3 linked regions of the Ovis aries genome follow. The protein of the gene in region 3 interacts with the protein of the main gene of each other region in a pairwise test. Links are inferred from orthologs where the notes say so. Each region holds a gene or a part of one and is shown on either strand. Other genes may lie near its edges.

What was found. The genes of interacting proteins can lie anywhere in the genome.
Region 1: the proteins of TSEN54 (region 3) and TSEN2 interact in a two-hybrid assay, tested with the Homo sapiens proteins (2 studies listed by BioGRID and IntAct). The two-hybrid records come from large-scale screens. The link is inferred for Ovis aries from reciprocal best matches to the Homo sapiens genes TSEN54 and TSEN2.
Region 2: the proteins of TSEN54 (region 3) and CLP1 interact in binary tests that used the Homo sapiens proteins (3 or more experiments, as listed by UniProt). The link is inferred for Ovis aries from reciprocal best matches to the Homo sapiens genes TSEN54 and CLP1.

Annotation. Positions count from the first base shown.
Region 1 is NC_056072.1:56,589,138-56,595,135, forward strand, and holds the start of TSEN2 (tRNA-splicing endonuclease subunit Sen2), read right to left. Parts: upstream 4,086-5,998; 5' UTR 4,055-4,085; intron 3,570-4,054; 5' UTR 3,481-3,569; intron 104-3,480; 5' UTR 1-103.
Region 2 is NC_056068.1:79,713,046-79,718,615, forward strand, and holds the end of CLP1 (polyribonucleotide 5'-hydroxyl-kinase Clp1), read left to right. Parts: intron 1-979; exon of another isoform or gene 980-1,844; 5' UTR 1,845-1,887; coding exon 1,888-2,493; intron 2,494-3,051; coding exon 3,052-3,723; 3' UTR 3,724-4,117; downstream 4,118-5,570. UniProt on the Homo sapiens protein: Polynucleotide kinase that can phosphorylate the 5'-hydroxyl groups of double-stranded RNA (dsRNA), single-stranded RNA (ssRNA), double-stranded DNA (dsDNA) and double-stranded DNA:RNA hybrids. dsRNA is phosphorylated more efficiently than dsDNA, and the RNA component of a DNA:RNA hybrid is phosphorylated more efficiently than the DNA component.
Region 3 is NC_056064.1:55,365,609-55,371,877, reverse strand, and holds the start of TSEN54 (tRNA-splicing endonuclease subunit Sen54), read left to right. Parts: upstream 1-2,139; 5' UTR 2,140-2,150; coding exon 2,151-2,206; intron 2,207-2,373; coding exon 2,374-2,538; intron 2,539-2,649; coding exon 2,650-2,713; intron 2,714-2,797; coding exon 2,798-2,881; intron 2,882-3,220; coding exon 3,221-3,319; intron 3,320-4,417; coding exon 4,418-4,470; intron 4,471-5,389; coding exon 5,390-5,482; intron 5,483-5,682; coding exon 5,683-6,269.

The sequences.
Region 1 (5,998 bases), on a different chromosome or scaffold from region 3:
CAAGGGACTCTCAAGAGTCTTCTCCAACACCACAGTTCAAAAGCATCAATTCTTCGGCACTCAGCTTTCTTCACAGTCCAACTCTCACATCCATACATGACCACTGGAAAAACCATAGCCTTGATTAGACGGACCTTTGTTGGCAAATAGGCTATCTAGGTTGGTTATAACTTTCCTTCCAAGGAGTGTCTTTTAATTTCATGGCTGCAATCACCATCTGCAGTGATTTTGGAGCCCCCCCAAAATAAAGTCTGACACTATTTCCACTAATTCCCCATCTATTTCCCGTGAAGTGATGGGACCAGATGCCATGCTCTTAGTTTTAGGCCCATTAAGAAGAAACCCAGGGACTTCCCTGGTAGTCCAGAAGCTTAAGACCCTGTGTTCCCAGTGCTGGGGGCCCGGGTTCCATCCCTAGTCACGGAACTAGATCTCCCAAGCCACAACTAAGAGTCTGCCGGGCACAATTAAGAACCCATTGCCAGCACTAAGGCAGGGCACAACCAAATAATTAAAAATAATTAAAAATAAACATTAAGGAAGCGTGCGTGTGTTGCTACAGACTCATTGGCCACGTGTGTGCTCAGACTTTTTGATTTTTGCTCATGAGACAGCAGAGAAATAGTATCCGGTGTGGCTGCAATTTAGCCTTTTTAAAATATTTCAATTTTTTTCTGTATGGTTTTTCATTTCTCATATGGTTGAGGTCATGCTGTGGATACGAGGGGAGACAGACACGCCGGTCCTTTAACGAGCCCACGGGCCAGATGGGAAGACAGACAGACAGACACAAATCATTCCTGGCAGGACAACGAGCACCAAGGACAGCAGGGACAGGAAAGCGAGCCCCCCCGCCCAGCAGACCCACTCCTCCCAGAGATGCACGACTCTTCCACTCTTTCTCCCACAGGCTAGGAGCCTGCATGCTGCAGCTAAAAAAAAAAAAAAAAGATCCCAAGTGCCGCAAGACCCAGCGCACCCAAACAAATGAATGATTAGGGAAAAGAAAGAAATCAAAAGCACTGTCCCATGTGTAAGGATTCCTCTAGCCACTCTCCAAAAGACGTGAAGGAATTAAATGAGGACAAAGGAAAAGAGAAACCAGGGACGTTAAGACGGTGACAACCAGTTACAATAGGAACTATAAATAAAGAATCAGCAAGTTGGCAGATTGCTTCATAAGATTGCTATAGAGTATTCCAGACAGCAAAATGCTAAGATTCTAAATGAGTCCCCCAACAGATGTAAATATTGAGCATGACTATATACATTTCATATACATATATACGTGTATCTATGCACACATCTTGCCATATAGTGTTCAGAACAAAACTATGTATACCACGTGTTAATGGGCAATTAAGAGATTCCCCCTCAAGAGCATTTAAAGTAGACTTTCACTTGCCAATTTGTCACTCAACCCAAGCAACTACAGCGGACCCTGAACCACATGGGGTTTACCTGCATGGGTACATGTATACCCAGACTTGTTTCAATGGTGAATGCTACAGTGATACACCATCCATGGTTGGTTGAGTCCACAGATCCTTAGCCTTAGATATAAAGGAACAAGGGATATGGAGGGGGACTGAAAATTACCCTCGGAGTTTTGATGATCACAGAGGGTCAGCACCCTCACCTTCTACGTTATTCAAGCGCCAAGTGCATTTAGCATCCAACTGAACAATCGGCAACTTATTCTAAAACTTAAAATAACGTGTCGACTTTTTTGAGGCAGGATGCTGGTTTCCAGTTAGGATTTCCAGGAATAATTCATGGACTTTTATAAGCAGTTCACTTTTATAACTTAACCGCTGCTTAGTATTTGACTTGTATATATTACATTAAAAGATTTTTAAAAACAGAAAATGTTCAATGACTAACTTCACACACTTCCAATTAAATTCTCTCAAACCAGTGAAAGAGAAAAGTTCTGTTTTAATGTGCTTAGATTGCTTAGGATTCTCCCTTTCAGACTGCTGTTATACTCTTAAAGAAAGCCTAGAATGAGCTCTGACACTGGATGCAAGAACTCTGTACTTCAACCCACGTTGGCATCATAGAAGGTTCCTCTAACAAGACTCCCTGCTTTTCACAAGACCTCCAAATTTTAGAGGTCTGGCGTCGCCTCTGTGCGTGTGGCCGCATGGACATCAAGGAGGATGCGCCTCTCAGTAGGCCTTCCAAATGTGCAGTGCTACCATTACGATCGTGTGATTTTAACAACCCACGTATGGTCCCTGAACTCAATGTCATCTTCAAATTGATCAGGACTAGAAAACTGTGGAAGCCACTCACACATTAAACTAAGACCTGGTGCAGCCAAATAAGGAAATAAATAATAAAAAGATTTTTAAAAAGATGCTGCATCCATATAGGCTTTCCTGGTTGGTAAAGAATCCGCCTGCCAGTGCAGGAGACTCGGGTTCGATCCCTCGGTCTGGAAGATCCCCTGGAGAAGGAAATGGCAACCCACTTTAGTATTTCTGCCTGGGAAATCCCATGGACAGAGGAGCTTGGCAGGCTACAGTCCATGGGGTCCCAAAGAGTCAGACATGACTTAGCAACTAAAGAACAACATATCCACGTATTGGAATATTACCAGCAATTAACAGGAATGAAGGTTAAGAGGGAATTCTCTGACTTCTCAGCAGACTTTAAGACTCTCTGCTTTCACTGCTAAGGTTCAATCCCTGGTTGAGGAACTAAGTTCCTACAAGCCATAACGTGTGGCCAAAAAAAAAAAAAAAACAAACCAGTTTAAAAGATTAAGAAAATTGACCTGGGGTCATATATAACAGTGGCTCTCAAGCTTGGCTGCTCTTAGAATCACCTGGGGAAATTGTGAAACTCCCAATGCCGAGGCCTAACCTACAATTACATCAAAAGGTCAGAGATGGGGTCCAGGCGATTTCAATATGCAGTCCATGGTTGCAGCCACTAGAGATAGGATGGCCTATTCAAACTCGATGCCAACAGCCATCCCACTGGAGAGAGGGGGAAAGGGGCTAGGGGCTGGCGCCGAGCGCCACGCACCTGTAAGGGGCTGTTCCTTTTGCTTTTCCAAACCTGGCTGTATGACTCCAGGGACCCACAGTGTTAAGTACACTATACATTTAGTTTTCTAGCAGGGCTTGTTCCTAATTCTTCCCTTGAGCACACAAGCTAACATCTTTTAGGTGTTCCGTAAATGTTTATTCCAAACAAAACAAAGGAAGACAAAAAGGAAGGGGGGGAGGTACCATTATTTAATTTTCCAACCCCCTGGGCCCACTTTGCCCAACCAGCTGGTTAAAGCCTCCCACTCAGAACTCACATTCTCCCTATCAAAAAAACAACAACACAAAAAAACACGCTCGAGGCTCCAAGTGCGTACCCTGTAGGCGAGGGGAGGCAAGGATGAAAAGGAAAAGACAATCCTGCCTCTGGGGAGCTTTCAGGTTAGAACCCGAGACTAAGACACACAAACAAAAGTTAAACCTTTGAAGACTGATGGGGGGATTGTGGATCGAGCCTGGTACTGGGCTTCCCATGTGATGTGCGAGCCAGGCGAAAAGCTGCAGCTGCAACTAATGAGCAAAAAAAAAAAAAAAAAGTCAAGGGCTCAACAGACTCTCCCAACTCCGTGTCATAACCTGTCCCTTTGCCGGGCTCCTACAGCGGCGCCCAGCAACCCTACTAGCGACCAAAGAAGGCTCCCCTAGGGCACGGTCTGTTATCAGATGCACCCGCCTTACTCTGCCCGCGGCACTCTGCCCCGCGGGGTCAGTGTTTCCACAAAAAGCATAGAAAAGAGAGAGTTGCAGATACACGGAGGAGGGGAAAGGGGGCTAATATTCCGGCAGAACTAGAAGCCGGGCCCTGCGTCCCGGCCCAGTTCCGCGTGGCTGTGCGCCCGGAAGAACGTCCCAGGACCGCTTCTACTCTAGCCCCGGAGAGCGTTCTGAAAAGGCGAGGCCTCCTCCCGCGGATGAGCCCCCCCCCTACCCTCCAAGGGCCACGGCCACCGCGCTCGGCGCCTCGAGCCTGCTCCCGGGGGCCCAGGGTACCCTACCTTCCTCCGCCCCCAGCGCGCGCGCGGCGTTACCCCGGCAACGCCGGCCGGGAGACGGACACCGCTGCCGTCAAGCAGCGCAGCCGCAAAGCCGGGCGACTGCGCAGCCGTGGAGCCCGCGAGAGCGCCCGCCGGGTCTGTGCGTAGCGCGCCTGCGCGAGGCCTACAGGCGGGTCTCAGTGGGGTGTGACCCCCGGTGTGAGTCGCGGGCGGCGTGTCCTTTTTCCTGCGCTTCCCGAGATTGTACCGATAGCCCCTCTGCACAGGTGCTGTTCTCGTTTAATCCCCACAGCAGTCCCACAAGATCGGTTTCACAGATGAGTTCTAAGTTACTTACCCAGTGTCACGTAGCTGAGGTATTGGAGGACACGAAGCCAGGTCTTCAGGAGTTGTGGTCTTCGCCCCTGGGGAGATGGGATGCTTGAAGCGACTGCACTTGACATGACCCAAGCCCCGAGGAAGCGGGTAGGCTGAGCTCAGCCCGCAGAAGGCTGAAGCCTTCTCAACGCTTCTGTGTAAGTGAAGCATGCAGGGAACCTGTAAGGAATTGCCCCCTCGCAGAGGGCACCGCCCAGAAGCCACGGTGGGCACCGGCTGCCCCGTTTAGCGTCCAGGACAACAGGCCTGGAGTCAGATCTGAGTTAGCATCCTCACCTCCCTCCTCACCAACTGTGTGATCTTTAGTGAGTGACAACAAGAGCCTCTTGATGAAAGTGAAAGAGCAGAGTGGAAAAGTTGGCTTAAAGCTCCACATTCAGAAAACTAAGATCATGGCATCCGGCCCCATCACTTCATGGGAAATAGATGGGTAAACAGTGGAAACAGTGACCGACTTTATTTTGGGAGGGGCTCCAAAATCACTGCAGATGGTGACTGCAGCCATGAAATTAAGATGCTTACTCCTTGGAAGGAAAGTTATGACCAACCTAGACAGCACATTAAAAAGCAGAGACATTACTTTGCCAACAAAGGTCTGTCTAGTCAAGGCTATGGTTTTTCCAGTGGTCATGTATGGATGTGAGAGTTGGACTGTGAAGAAAGCTGAGTGCCGAAGAATTGATGCTTTTGAACTGTGGTGTTGGAGAAGACTCTTGAGAGCCCCTTGGACTGCAAGGACATCCAACTAAAGGAAATCAGTCCTGAATATTCATTGGAAAGACTGATGCTGAAGCTGAAACTCCAATATTTTGGCCACCTGATACGAGGAACTGACTCATTTGAAAAGACCCTGATGCTGGGAAAGATTGAACACAGAAGAAGCAGGAGACAGGATGACATGGTTGGATGGCATCACTGACTCAATGGACATGAGTTTGAGTAAACTCCGGGAGTTGGTGATGGACAGGGAAGCCTGGTATGCTGCAGTCCATGGGGTCACAAAGAACTGGACCTTTCTGAACCACAGTTTCCTCTATTAAAAAATGGGTCATCAGGATCATGAGGGATGAGCAAAACCAAAGGTGCCTTGGGAATTATAAAAGCTTCTACCTGGTTTTAAAGGAGGCCTGGTAGGGAGTGCAGTATATACCTTCGTAAAATAAATCCCAGGGTCCCCAGCAAACATACCACACATGCTGGGCAGTGTGGAAGGCAGGTGGCAGGAAAGGGTGGCAGATAACGCCAGAGAGATTAATGAGGCTGAGTGTGACGGGCTCTGAAATCCGGACCTTCCCCAACCTCCTCTTGTCTCCAGACCTTCGCGAACACTGTGGCCTCCACCTGGAACATCCTTCTCCTGGGTCCGCAGCAGTGACCCCTGGCTGCCCTGTAGGTCTCAGCTCAGACCTCTCTTCTTCAGGACACTTCCTCTTGCTTCCCAGGCTGCCTTGGGTGACATTCCTCTGTGTTCTGGGATAGTCTGGTGCCCCCTGAAAAAAAGGAGTGAAAGTGTTAATCACTCAGTTGTGTCCGACTCTTTGTGACTCCGTGCATGGATTGTGGCCC
Region 2 (5,570 bases), on a different chromosome or scaffold from region 3:
TAAATTGTTATCCCTGTTATCCAGTTAAAAACAAACAACAACTGGGTCTAAGCCTGTGATTTACCCAAAGTCACACAGCAAGCAAGTGGCAAAGAATATTCCCAAGTCCAAACGCATCAGAAGTGTATAAAGTGAAAGTGAAGTCGCTCAGTCATGTCCAACTCTTGCGACCCCATGGACTGCAGCTCTCCAGGCTCCTCCGTCCATGGGATTCTCCAGGCCAGAATACTGGGGTGGGTAGCCTTCCCCTTCTCCAGGGGATCTTCCCGACGCAGGGATCGAACACGGGTCTCCCACCTTGCAGAGACGCTTTACCGTCTGAACGTATAGATGCGGCCCAATCTGTTGCTTGCAGGGTGATGCTTGCCCTTGTATAACCATCAGAGACTTGGGGAGGGAAAGAGTCCCCAGCAAAGCTCTCCGCCTAACAGGAGAGGGGTTGTTGAGTAATGACTACCTTGCAGAGTAACTGGAAGAAATCTATGTTTCATTCTCTCCCTTAAGTAAAATGTTCTGAAATGCTCCCCAGGGGTCAAACGCTGTGTCGGGACGGGGATGGTAGTCCAGTTAGCCTCTGATGAGCTGCTTGGCTCCCCTCTCGCTACCCCTAGGTCCCCTCGTATCCACACAGGGATCCGCGCCCCGCTTCCAGGCGACTGTGGGGCGCTTCCCGGGCCGCAGGTGAGCGGGAGCGACGGGGAGAGAGCCCACAGCTGCGGCGCCTCCGCGGCCGTGTCCCCTCCGCGGCTGGTCCTCACCGCGCACGGAGGCGTAACCACCACGCCCCCTGCCTCCCTCCCCAGCTGCTTGACGAACAATGACGGCAGCCGCCCCGCCCGCCTTTGACGTCACGGTCAACCCCCACCCTTGACTACAAGTCCCAGAGGGCCAAGCGGCGGCCAGAGCGCGACCGCTCGCGACAGCTCGGGTACAACTACATCTCCCAGGGGGCCTCGCGCGGCCGCGCCTTCCCCACTGCGCAAGTGCGGAAACGTTTGTTTCCGGCGTGGTCTCGGTGAGCGCGTCTGGCTTCTGGGCTTAGGTCCTGTGTTCTTGGTTTACAGGTTTGAGCTCGTGGCTGTACAGGTGAGGTAGTAAGTTCAGGATCGCAACCGCCGCCTCCTTAGAGCCTGCGCAGATTTCGGTGTCTGGGGAGGCTGGGACGAATGCTAGACCTGGAGCTGCGATCTGCATCGGAGATAATTCTTTGCTGTTCCTCGGCGCTTTCTAGTTTACTAATTTTTTTCTTTCCCTCCGACCATCCCGGTTAACCCCCAGAACAGCACTTTAGGGGAACTGTAAGCGCCTCCAGTTGACAGTGGAGGAAAAGGTTTAGACGAGCTAAGTGATTTGTTCAAAGACACTGCTAGTGGTTGCTGAACGGTTTCCTTGATGCTGTTTGCTTCTGAGTCCCAACTCGGTATTCTCTGCTCTGCCTCCAGATTGCTGACTCCCTTTTTTGTTGACCCAAGGGTTAGGGACTGGGCATCTGTAGCTTTTTCAAGTCTGGAGTACTCGAAAGCGTGGTAGTGATGAAGGGAGCAACAAAGGCGCTGTAACCAAGTCTGCGGGTATGTAGGTATCTTGTTTTCCGCCGACGTCTGAGTCAGTTATTCACTCGGTGTTTTTACAGAGGTGCCTTTTGGTGTCAGGCTCTATTTTAGGTACTGGGGTTACGGGCAGCAAACCTAAATGCCCAACCCTTACCTTCTAGTGAGGGTGGGTAGACAATAATCAGATATATAGTGGGTCAGGTGGTGATGAGAGAGAAGGGGGGAGAATAAAGCAAAGTAAGGAGAAACATACTCTGGAGGATTTTGAACCGAGCCCTAACTTCTGTTTAGATCTGATTCTGGCGTTCCAGACAAAAGCAGCCACACAGGAAAGATGGGAGAGGAGGCCAATGATGACAAGAAGCCAACAACTAAATTTGAACTGGAGCGGGAGACAGAGCTTCGCTTTGAGGTGGAGGCGTCGCAGTCAGTTCAGTTGGAGCTGCTGGCTGGCATGGCAGAAATCTTCGGCACAGAGCTGACCCGAAACAAGAAGTTCACCTTTGATGCTGGCGCCAAGGTGGCTGTCTTCACTTGGCACGGCTGTTCGCTGCAGCTCAGTGGGCGCACCGAGGTGGCTTACGTCTCCAAGGACACCCCAATGTTGCTTTATCTCAACACACATACGGCCTTGGAGCAGATGCGGAGGCAGGCCGAGAAGGAGGAGGAGCGGGGCCCCCGGGTGATGGTCGTGGGCCCCACGGACGTGGGCAAGTCCACCGTGTGCCGTCTGCTGCTCAACTACGCGGTGCGTCTGGGCCGCCGTCCCACGTACGTGGAGCTGGATGTGGGCCAGGGCTCTGTGTCCATCCCCGGCACCATGGGGGCCCTCTACATCGAGCGGCCGGCGGACGTTGAGGAGGGGTTCTCCATCCAGGCCCCGCTGGTGTACCACTTCGGCTCCACCACGCCCGGCACCAACATCAAGCTTTATAATAAGGTCAGAGCCCGGGGCAAGGCGCGGTGGAGGGAGGGGGCCGGCGTTTGCTGGTTGAAACTCTCTGTCCCCTCTCAGTGGCTATCACTTCCACGGTGATGGGTTTTGGAAAAGACCGTTTCAAAAATAGTTCAATCTCAGATGGTTAAACATTTCTAGGGACCTATTCTTAAGTAGGTCCTATTCTTCCCTGGTGGCTCAGACGGTAAAGCGTCTGCCTACAATGCGGGAGACCCGGGTTCAGTCCCTGGGTTGGGAAGATGGGAAGATTCCCCTGGTGGAGGGCATGGCAACCCACTCCAGTACTCTCGCCTGGAGAATCCCATGCACGGAGGAAGCTGGCAGGCTACAGCCCATGGGGTCGCAAAATGTCAGACACGACTGAGCGACTTCACTTCACTCCTGAGTGATTTATTACATTTCAACTTGGGACATGAAACACCACTGCCATTAGAAATGTCCTTTTCCCTGAACCTGATACCACTTAGGCTCAGGAAGGATCGTGTGGCCGAGGGTTGGTTTTGTGCCTTTTCTGTCTCACCTGGACCCTTTCTTCTGCAGATTACATCTCGTTTAGCTGATGTGTTCAACCAAAGGTGTGAAGTGAACCGCAGGGCCTCGGTGAGCGGCTGTGTCATTAACACCTGTGGCTGGGTCAAGGGCTCTGGTTACCAGGCCCTGGTCCACGCAGCCTCAGCCTTTGAGGTGGATGTCGTCGTGGTTCTGGATCAAGAACGGCTGTACAACGAGCTGAAGCGGGACCTGCCTCACTTCGTCCGCACGGTGCTGCTCCCCAAGTCGGGGGGTGTGGTGGAGCGCTCCAAGGACTTCCGGCGGGAATGCCGGGATGAGCGCATCCGTGAGTATTTCTATGGGTTCCGGGGCTGTTTTTATCCCCATGCCTTCAACGTCAAATTTTCAGATGTGAAAATCTACAAAGTCGGGGCACCCACCATCCCAGACTCCTGCCTGCCTCTGGGCATGTCTCAGGAGGACAATCAGCTCAAGCTGGTGCCCGTCACCCCCGGCCGAGATATGGTGCACCACCTGCTGAGCGTCAGCACCGCCGAGGGCGCCGAGGAGAGCCTCTCGGAGACCAGCGTGGCGGGCTTCATTGTGGTGACCAGCGTGGACCTGGAGCACCAGGTGTTCACCGTCCTCTCCCCCGCCCCCCGCCCGCTGCCCAAGAACTTCCTGCTCATCATGGATATCCGGTTCATGGATCTTAAGTAGCGATCCTCAGGCAGCCTTGCTGCCTGGGGCCTGGAGGCCTTCTGGCCATCACCAAGGGCAGACGGGCTGAGGGATGAGCACCTCCTGCGGCCCGGCTGCTCGGTAAATGGTGGACTACCGGAAAGCATATGTTCTACCTCTTAAAAACAGGTGGTGGCCACCTAACTCTTCCAGTTGTGAGCCAGAGGTTTCTTGGGTCCCCTAAGGTGCCACCAGAGAAGCCCCCTTTCTTGCACCGTGCCGCCTTGTGGGCTCATTTGTCACCGTTTTAGGTTCTGCATACACTGCTTATCTCGTTTGTCTGGGATGAAAGAGTGAATTCAAAGGACTCCTCCCAATTAAGTTCATACTTGGGAAAAAAGAAAAAACTATTTTAATAAATATTTTTGCCATAGCACAGGAGTTGGTATAATTTTTTAAAGCTTGGGTTTTTTCCCCCTAAGCATTATAGAAACATTATTGGAATGATTTATTACTGAATGCCTAGAGAAGAAGAAAGCCAAGAGCCCACCTGTGAGCTAAGCAGGTAAATGTTTATGATGGTTTCCTTTTCCTCTGCACTTGGGTAAATAGATCCTAAATCTGTTGTCAGTGATGGGTTTACTATGAGGAACTAAACAGGTGGTGGTAAACTTGGGGTGAGATTTCAGATTTGATATTATCCAGAGATAGCTCATTTTCTCTCAGCTACAGCTCTCTGCTCTCTTTCCTGTTGTCTGTTTAATTGGAATCAGATCCCAAGTCAAAAAGTAAATTTGAGCTTTCAGGTGATAAGCTGGAACAGCCCATTCTCTTTGATCTCTTGCAAATAATTGGTTTCTCTAGTTTGGACTTGTATTATTGAGTAAGTATCATGATGACCTTATCCATTGATTCTTTCCACAAATTTTTATCATGCACCTACTATGTGACAAGGACCTTTCTAGACGGGGGGACGAGCTGGACAGTCTTACAGAGCTTATAGTAAACATAAAAAGTGAGGTGCTGTGCAGAGAGGCTTAAGATCGGGCCATAGGAGGCGGAATGGCCAGGAGGCTTTTTAAATCAGGTGGTCAGGAAAGGCCTCTTTTGAATGGCTGTGTGCAACTGGGACAGAATCTTCCTGGTGGAGGAAGCAGGGCAAAACCCTAAGAAAGGAGCAAGCTGAGTGTGTTGGATGAAGGGAAAGGCCAGCATTGTGGGAGTGATACAGCAAATCAAGGGGAGAGGGAAAAACTCAGGCCGAGGTGGGAGGCAGCAAAGACCAGATAGTGTAGGGCTTTTGTAATCCAAGAAGAGTGGGAAATGGAGAGGCGTAAGAAGCTCCAATACTCTGGCCATCTGACGCGAAGAGCTGACTAACTGGAAAGACCTGATGCTGGAAAGACTGAAGGAAAAGGAAGAAGAGGGTGGCAGAGGATGAGATGGTCAGATACCATCACCTACCCACTCACTCAATGGACATGAAATTGAGCATACTCTTGGGAGATAGTCAAGGACAGAGGAGCCTGGTGTGCTGCAGTCCATGGGATTGTGAGAATCAGACACGATTTAGGGACTGAACTACAACAAAAACACGGACTGGGTAACTTAGAAACATCTGAAAATGGTCAGGTTTCTGAAGGCTGGAAAGGCCAAATCCAAGGCACCCAGCAGTCACGCTCTGCCAAGGGCTCTCTTTCTTCCAAGTTGCAGATGGCCGGCTTCAACTGTGTCCTCACAGAGTGAGAGGGGCGGGGAGCTCTCTGGAGCCTTGTTGATAAAAGCACTAATCCCATTCATGAAGGTCTACATTCATGATCTAAGCATCTTTCAAAGGTTTCATCTAATATTGGGGATTTTGGCATAAGAACTGTGGGGGTGGGGGC
Region 3 (6,269 bases):
GCCCTGGCAGCACGACACACGGGGGCAGGTCGGGCCAGCAGCCTGTTCTCCACAGCCTGAGGCTCTGACACCCACAGACAAGTGGTGGGCCAGAAGGTGGGGCCTGGGAGGGTCAGGCACAGGAGGACTGGCAGGGATCACCCCTCCCCATCTAGGCTCTGCCCTGATCACCGGAAGCCCTAGCCCCAGGGCTCTTTATGAATTCAGAAGGTGGAGTGGGGAGCTATGGCCCCCCGTCTCTGGCTGAGGGTCTGCCTGCAGGACAGTGAGGCTTTACAGCACCTGTTGCTGACCCATCCTCACCCTAGTGCAGGATGCAGAAGCAGCCGGGCAGAGAACAGAGATGAGAGCTGGGGTACTGCTGCTAAATGGGGCTGTCCGCCCTCCCAAGCCTGAATCTGAGCCCCAGAGCCCCGACTTCACTTTAGAAAAGCTTACGTCAGTTTCTCAGTGGCCGAGAATTTGTTGCCCGAGTCCCGTGGCATGAGACTCGCGGCAGGCCTGGGGCCCTAGCTGGGGTTCTCTTACTCCCCAGAAGTCCCAAGCCCAAACCAGATGGCACTCCAGCTCAAAGCCCGCGGCCCGACATTGGGGGAGGGCGCCCCTGGCAGTGCATGGGGTCGGGCTGGCTCCCCCGCCCCCCGGAATGCCAGTCCAGCGCCGCGCAACCCCCCAACCCAGCCCAGCCCAGGCCGACCGGGGAACAAAGCGGCGAGAAGGACCGGAGGGCCAAGTGCCCGGAGGGATTGATGCAGGGAGACGTTGTACTGGCGCGAGGAGGACAGAAGGACCCGACGGATGAAGACGCCCGCGGATCTCGCAAGAAAAGTTACTTTGTGCCCGCCCTCAAGGGTGCTGACCCCCAGATCAGGCCCCGCAGTCTCACCTTTCCCAGCCGCCCCGCCGGGGGTCCGGCCGGTCCTGCTCGGTCCCTGGCCCCCTGGACGGCGGCTCCCACTGCCCCCCCCCCCTTTTTCTCCTCCTTTTCCAAGGCCGGCTCGGCGCCTCCCGCAGGAAATCCCGCCCCTCCCCCCTCCCTCCCACCGGATCGGGAGCGGAGGGACTGTCCCGGCCGCGCAGCTGGGCTGTCAGTCAGAGCCTGCGGCCCCGCCCCGATCCGTGCGAGGCCCCGCCCCACCTCCCCAGGCCCGAGCGTCTGCGCATGCGTCCAGGTGAAGCTGCGCGGGCGGGGACGGGGGGCGGGGACTAGAGAGCGAGCCTCGGCATCCTGACTGGAGCCCGGGCGCGCGACCTGAGGCTCTGGAGTTCAGACGGACGGGAGAGACACCCTGTGTATGACGGGGTGCGAGAGAGGACGAGATGTGATGGGAGCTGGGAATCGAGACCCAGGAATCCCACTTGGGAACCCCCCTTTTCTTCTTCCTCGCCCCTCGTCCTTCCCGGGACTCCCGCAGCGACCTCCGCCCGCGACCCGAAGTCACAGGCCGACGGCCCCTGGTCGGAGCGATGGTGCCACCTAGCGGGCCGTGTGGGGACGGCTCGAGGCGGCGGCGGCGGAGACCCCAGGCTCCGGGAGGCGCTAACTACCGGCTGGGGTGGCGCTTCAGCACCGCCGTGGGTCGGACAGCGCCTCCCGCCGCTCCCCCAAGTCCTGGAAGCCCGGCTTCCCGAGCCCCCAGGCAGGGACCCAACAGAAGGACCTGAAGGAACTGCTGGCTCCCCTAGCCTACACCTGGAGGCCCGTGGTGACCCTCAGTGTGCGAAGCCGAATTGGGGAACCCAGCGTTCTCCCTTCTCTAACCCCTCCTTCCTCCCGGTCCAGCCTGGGTGGTGCGGACTAGGCAGTCCGGGGTTGCGGAGGGGAGGGTCACCCTTATAACTCTTCATACGACGCTTTCAAACGCGAGCCTCCTCGAGAACTACTAGAGAGGAGCCCCAGAGGCAGGCGGGGCTCCTACAAATCCAGAAACTAGCAAGCTCTCCGCCCCCTAGTAATCGCGGCGCACATTTGTCGTCGGGCGCTAGGACCCAGGACACCCAGGAAGGTGGGAAGCAGGTGGGTGGACCGGAGACCCGGGGAGCGGCGGTGGAACACGCGCGCGCTAGGGCCGCGCGGACTCCCGGAGGTGGGCGGGGCGGGGGGGGCTGGGGCGGGGCGGTGCGCGCGCAGCGTCGGCCAGCCCCACCCGATGGATCCCGAGCCCGAGTCGGCCTCCGTGGAGGTTCCGGCCGGGCGCGTGCTCAGGTGCGGCGTGGCCGGGCCTGGGGGTGGAGGGTGGGGGGTGGGGGGGAGGAGCCGTGGCCGTGGGGTAGGCGCGGGAGAGAGCCCGGGGCACCCGAGCCGGGGATCCCCAGCCTGGGCTGAGCGGCCCCGATTGCGCGGCGCTAACGCCGCGGCCCTTTCTCCTCCAGTGCCCCGGAGCTCTTCGCCGCACGTTCCCGGTCCCAGAAGCTGCCCCAGCGCTCGCATGGCCCCAAGGACTTCCTCCCTGACGGCTCGGAGGCCCAGGCCGAGCGGCTGCGCTTGTGCCGCCAGGAGCTCTGGCAGCTGCTGGCCGAGGAGCGCGTGGAGCGCCTGTGAGAGGGGCGGGCCGGGGCGGGGGCGGAGCCGGGGCGGGCTGGGCTGCTGGACCCGGTAAGTCTGATCCGGTGGGTTTGGGACGGACCCCTCTCCCTGCTCCTCGCCAGGGGTAGTTTGGTGGCCGCCGAGTGGAAACCAGAAGAAGGTTTCGTGGAGTTGAAGTCTCCTGCGGTGAGCGGCGGGGCTCAGGGACCGGGGACCCGCCTCCTCTGCCTTCCCGGACTCCTTCATGACAGTGCTCTGGGTCCCCCGCAGGGTAAATTCTGGCAGACCATGGGCTTCTCAGAGCAGGGCCGGCAGCGGCTTCATCCAGAAGAGGCCTTGTATCTCCTGGAGTGTGTGAGTGGGGCCCCTGGGAGAGTGGAGAGGGGATTGTGACCAAGGAACCGGAAGGGCGTTTCTACTCAGGGAAAAGGTGTCTACAACCGAGTATTCGGGTGGGGGCGGGGGCTTGTAATCTGCTTTCTGGAGCAGTTGACAAGAATGTCACGCAGGGAGCAGGCTTTCCAGTCTGTTAGTGACGCTGCCTCCCTCTCCCCGTGCCCCTTCCTGGCCGGCCTGATTCTTGCCGTGATGGGTGTGAGGTGTAGCATGCAGATAGCAGAGTGGGGAATTTGCTCCCTTGGCCGTGCCACCACAGGGAGGGTTCACAAGCTGAGCTGTGGGCTGCACTTTCAGGGCTCCATCCAGCTCTTCCACCAAGACCTTCCGCTGTCTATCCAAGAGGCCTACCAGCTGCTGCTGACCGAGGACACAGTGACTTTCCTGCAGTACCAGGTATCAGCCACCCTTTATAAGAACCTACAAGAGCTTCCCTGGCGGCTCAGTGGTAAAGAACCCACCTGCCAATGCAGGAGACTCTGAATCAACCGGGTAGGTCCCCTGGAGAAGGAAACTGCAACCCACTCTTGTATTCTTGCCTGGGAAATCCCATGGACAGAAGGAGCCTGGCGGGCTACAGTCCATGGGGTCACAAAAGAATCAGACACAACTTAGTGACTAAACAACAAGGTGCTGGACACAGAGCCACGTGCTGAGGCTCCAAGACTGACAAGGGCTTATGTCCTAGGGGTGGCACTTGGGTAATATATAGGTAAGAAAGCAAATGGATGGTTGACTTCAGAGTTGAGTGCCAGGAAAAACACAGAGGAGGAGGGGCACAAGGCTAGAGACATAAATGTGGAGATCTTGATGGCATGGATATTTCAGGCTCCACCAGGCTGTAGGGAGGTGTGGCCAGAGTAGAGGCCTGTGTCTGAAATCTGGGGCACTCTAATATGAGGAGATCAGGGGGAAGATAACGGATGTGAGGAGTGTCCAGCAGCGGAGAAGACCAGGAGAGGGGGCATCAGAGAGACCACAAGGTCTTTTCAGGAGGAAGTGCTTGGCTGCGTTGAATGCTACTGAGAGATCAAGCAAGCTGGGGCATACCTGCATACATTGCTCATATACGGATGCAGGGCCACACGGAGGAACATGCGGTTCATCCAAAACCCACCCATCTTTGGAAGTGTTGTGGGGCAGCAGGATGTCCATCTCCTTCTGTTTGTCTTGTCTGTATTGTAGTCAGGAGCTTCACTTGTGACAGCTTTTGTCAAAATATTTTGGCTTATAGTTTTTTCCCTGGTCCATCAGCTATCAGCTTTTTGGGATTTGCATTTAAATCAAGAAACTGCTGTCATTTGTGCCCAGGGTAAGGCCAGTGAGAGACAGGAACTCAGAGACTTGAGACCTCAGTGTGGGGAGGGTGTTTATTAGACAGTATGGTCCTGCCAGTACCAGGGTTTGGAATCTGGGGGTGTGGTGAATGGCTTCTGTGTGGAGAACAGTTTGTTTTCATAAGTGGATGTCTGACTTCTGGTTTGTCTTTTTGAGGTCTTCAGCCACCTGAAGAGACTCGGCTATGTGGTTCGACGATTCCAACCAAGGTAAATCCCTGTTTATTTCCCTCGAATTTATCCTAGTCCCCAGCGACTAAGCACAACACTGACTGCTTACTGGGTGCTGGCTGCTGAAGAATAGCAGAGAACAAAAGCACTACCCCACAGAACTTGTGTTTAGGGGAGCTTACACAAAACACCATCACTTTGCAAAATCAGTGATCTTGGAAACCTCCTATAAGCCAAACAGGGAAAGCGTGGTCACACAGATTAGAGTTTATCCCTTAGATCAGCACTATCTGATAGGACTTTCTGTAGACAAAAATATTTAATGTCTGTGTTGTCCAGTATATGTGGCTTGTGTGGAATTTTTAATTTTAATAGATTTAAATTTAACTTAAATAGCCCCTTGTATCTAGGGCTACTATAATGGACAGTACAGCCTCACAGCCATAAGAAAAAAATCATGGCGGGGAAGAATAAAGGGCCATAATATATTGTTGAGTATAAAAAGGACCAAACAGCTGTATATTAGTACAGTGTCATTTTTGACAGAGAAAGATATGGAGAAAGACAGTCAATATGTGTGTTTGTAGGAAACAAAATGTTACCTTGGTATCCATTGGGTTTTATTTTCATTTTCCTTTATTTTCCAAGTTTTCCAGTTCTCCTAACTTTTCTCACCAGTGTTATTTATTGCTGGCTCTGCAGGAGCTCTGATGTCAGGGAACCTCTGTTCAAAGGTACCACTGATGAGACCCAGAGGCCTGGACAAAGATGCGCAGGGAGGCCCCTGTGTCTGCCCCCGTTACTCTGTGTGGGGTCTGCCTGGGGCTCCCGCCCTTGGTTACAGTTCTAGCCCTGGCCCGCTGACGTAGTCTGGGCCAGTCCCTCACACATTCCAAGGGGAGCACCAGACTGAGGAGGTGGATCAGTTGCCCACCCCCTACCCCATTCTCACCCACAGCTCCGTCCTGTCCCCGTACGAGCGGCAGCTGAACTTGGACAGCGGTGCCCAGTGCCTGGAGGGCAAGAGGAAGAGGAGAAGCTCCAGCTCTCAGTAATGCTCCCCACGTGGCCACCCCACAGGGAGAGTTCTGTGGAAGTGCTGGTGTTCGGGACCTTGGAGAATGCCTGGGCTTAAGAGTTGGGCTGGGGCGGCTCCTGCAGGGGCTCAGGGAGGCAGTATGGCTTGTGGGGGTCACGTGCACCTCAGCAGTCAGGAGCAGATGGACTGCGTTTCCTCCCCACGTCCCTCAGGTCTATTAATAAGAAGCCCAAGGCCCTGCAGAACCCCCTGCAGGGGATGGATGGAACACCTGAGAGCCCAGCAGCTTGCAGCCCACCTCCCCAGAACCACAACAGCTGCCGCCCAGAGGAGAAACCCCAGGAGTCAAACCCTGTAAAGAGCCCCGTAGGCCCCCTTCAGCTGCTGGGGTCCCTGGAACCCTGCCCTGGTCTGGGCAGGGAGGGGGCACAATGCAGCCCAGAGAATGGCAAAATAGAAGACGGGGTTATGGGGGCTTGTAAGCCCCGCTGGAACTTTGAGCAGATCTCCTTCCCCAACATGGCTGCAGACAGCCGCCATACTCTCCTGCTTGCCCCCGCCCCTGAGCTGCTCCCGGCCAACGTGGCTGGACGGGAGACAGACGCCGAGTCCTGGTGCCAGAGGCTCAACCAGCGGAAGGAGAAGCTGTCTCGGCGGGAACGGGAGCGGCAGGCAGAGGCCCAACACTTCTGCGAGGATGTGAATGCTGACCCCCAGGTGCAGCGCTGCTCCAGCTGGCGGGAGTACAAGCAGCTGCTGCAGAGGCGGCACCTGCAGAAGACCCAGAGCCGGCCCCCAC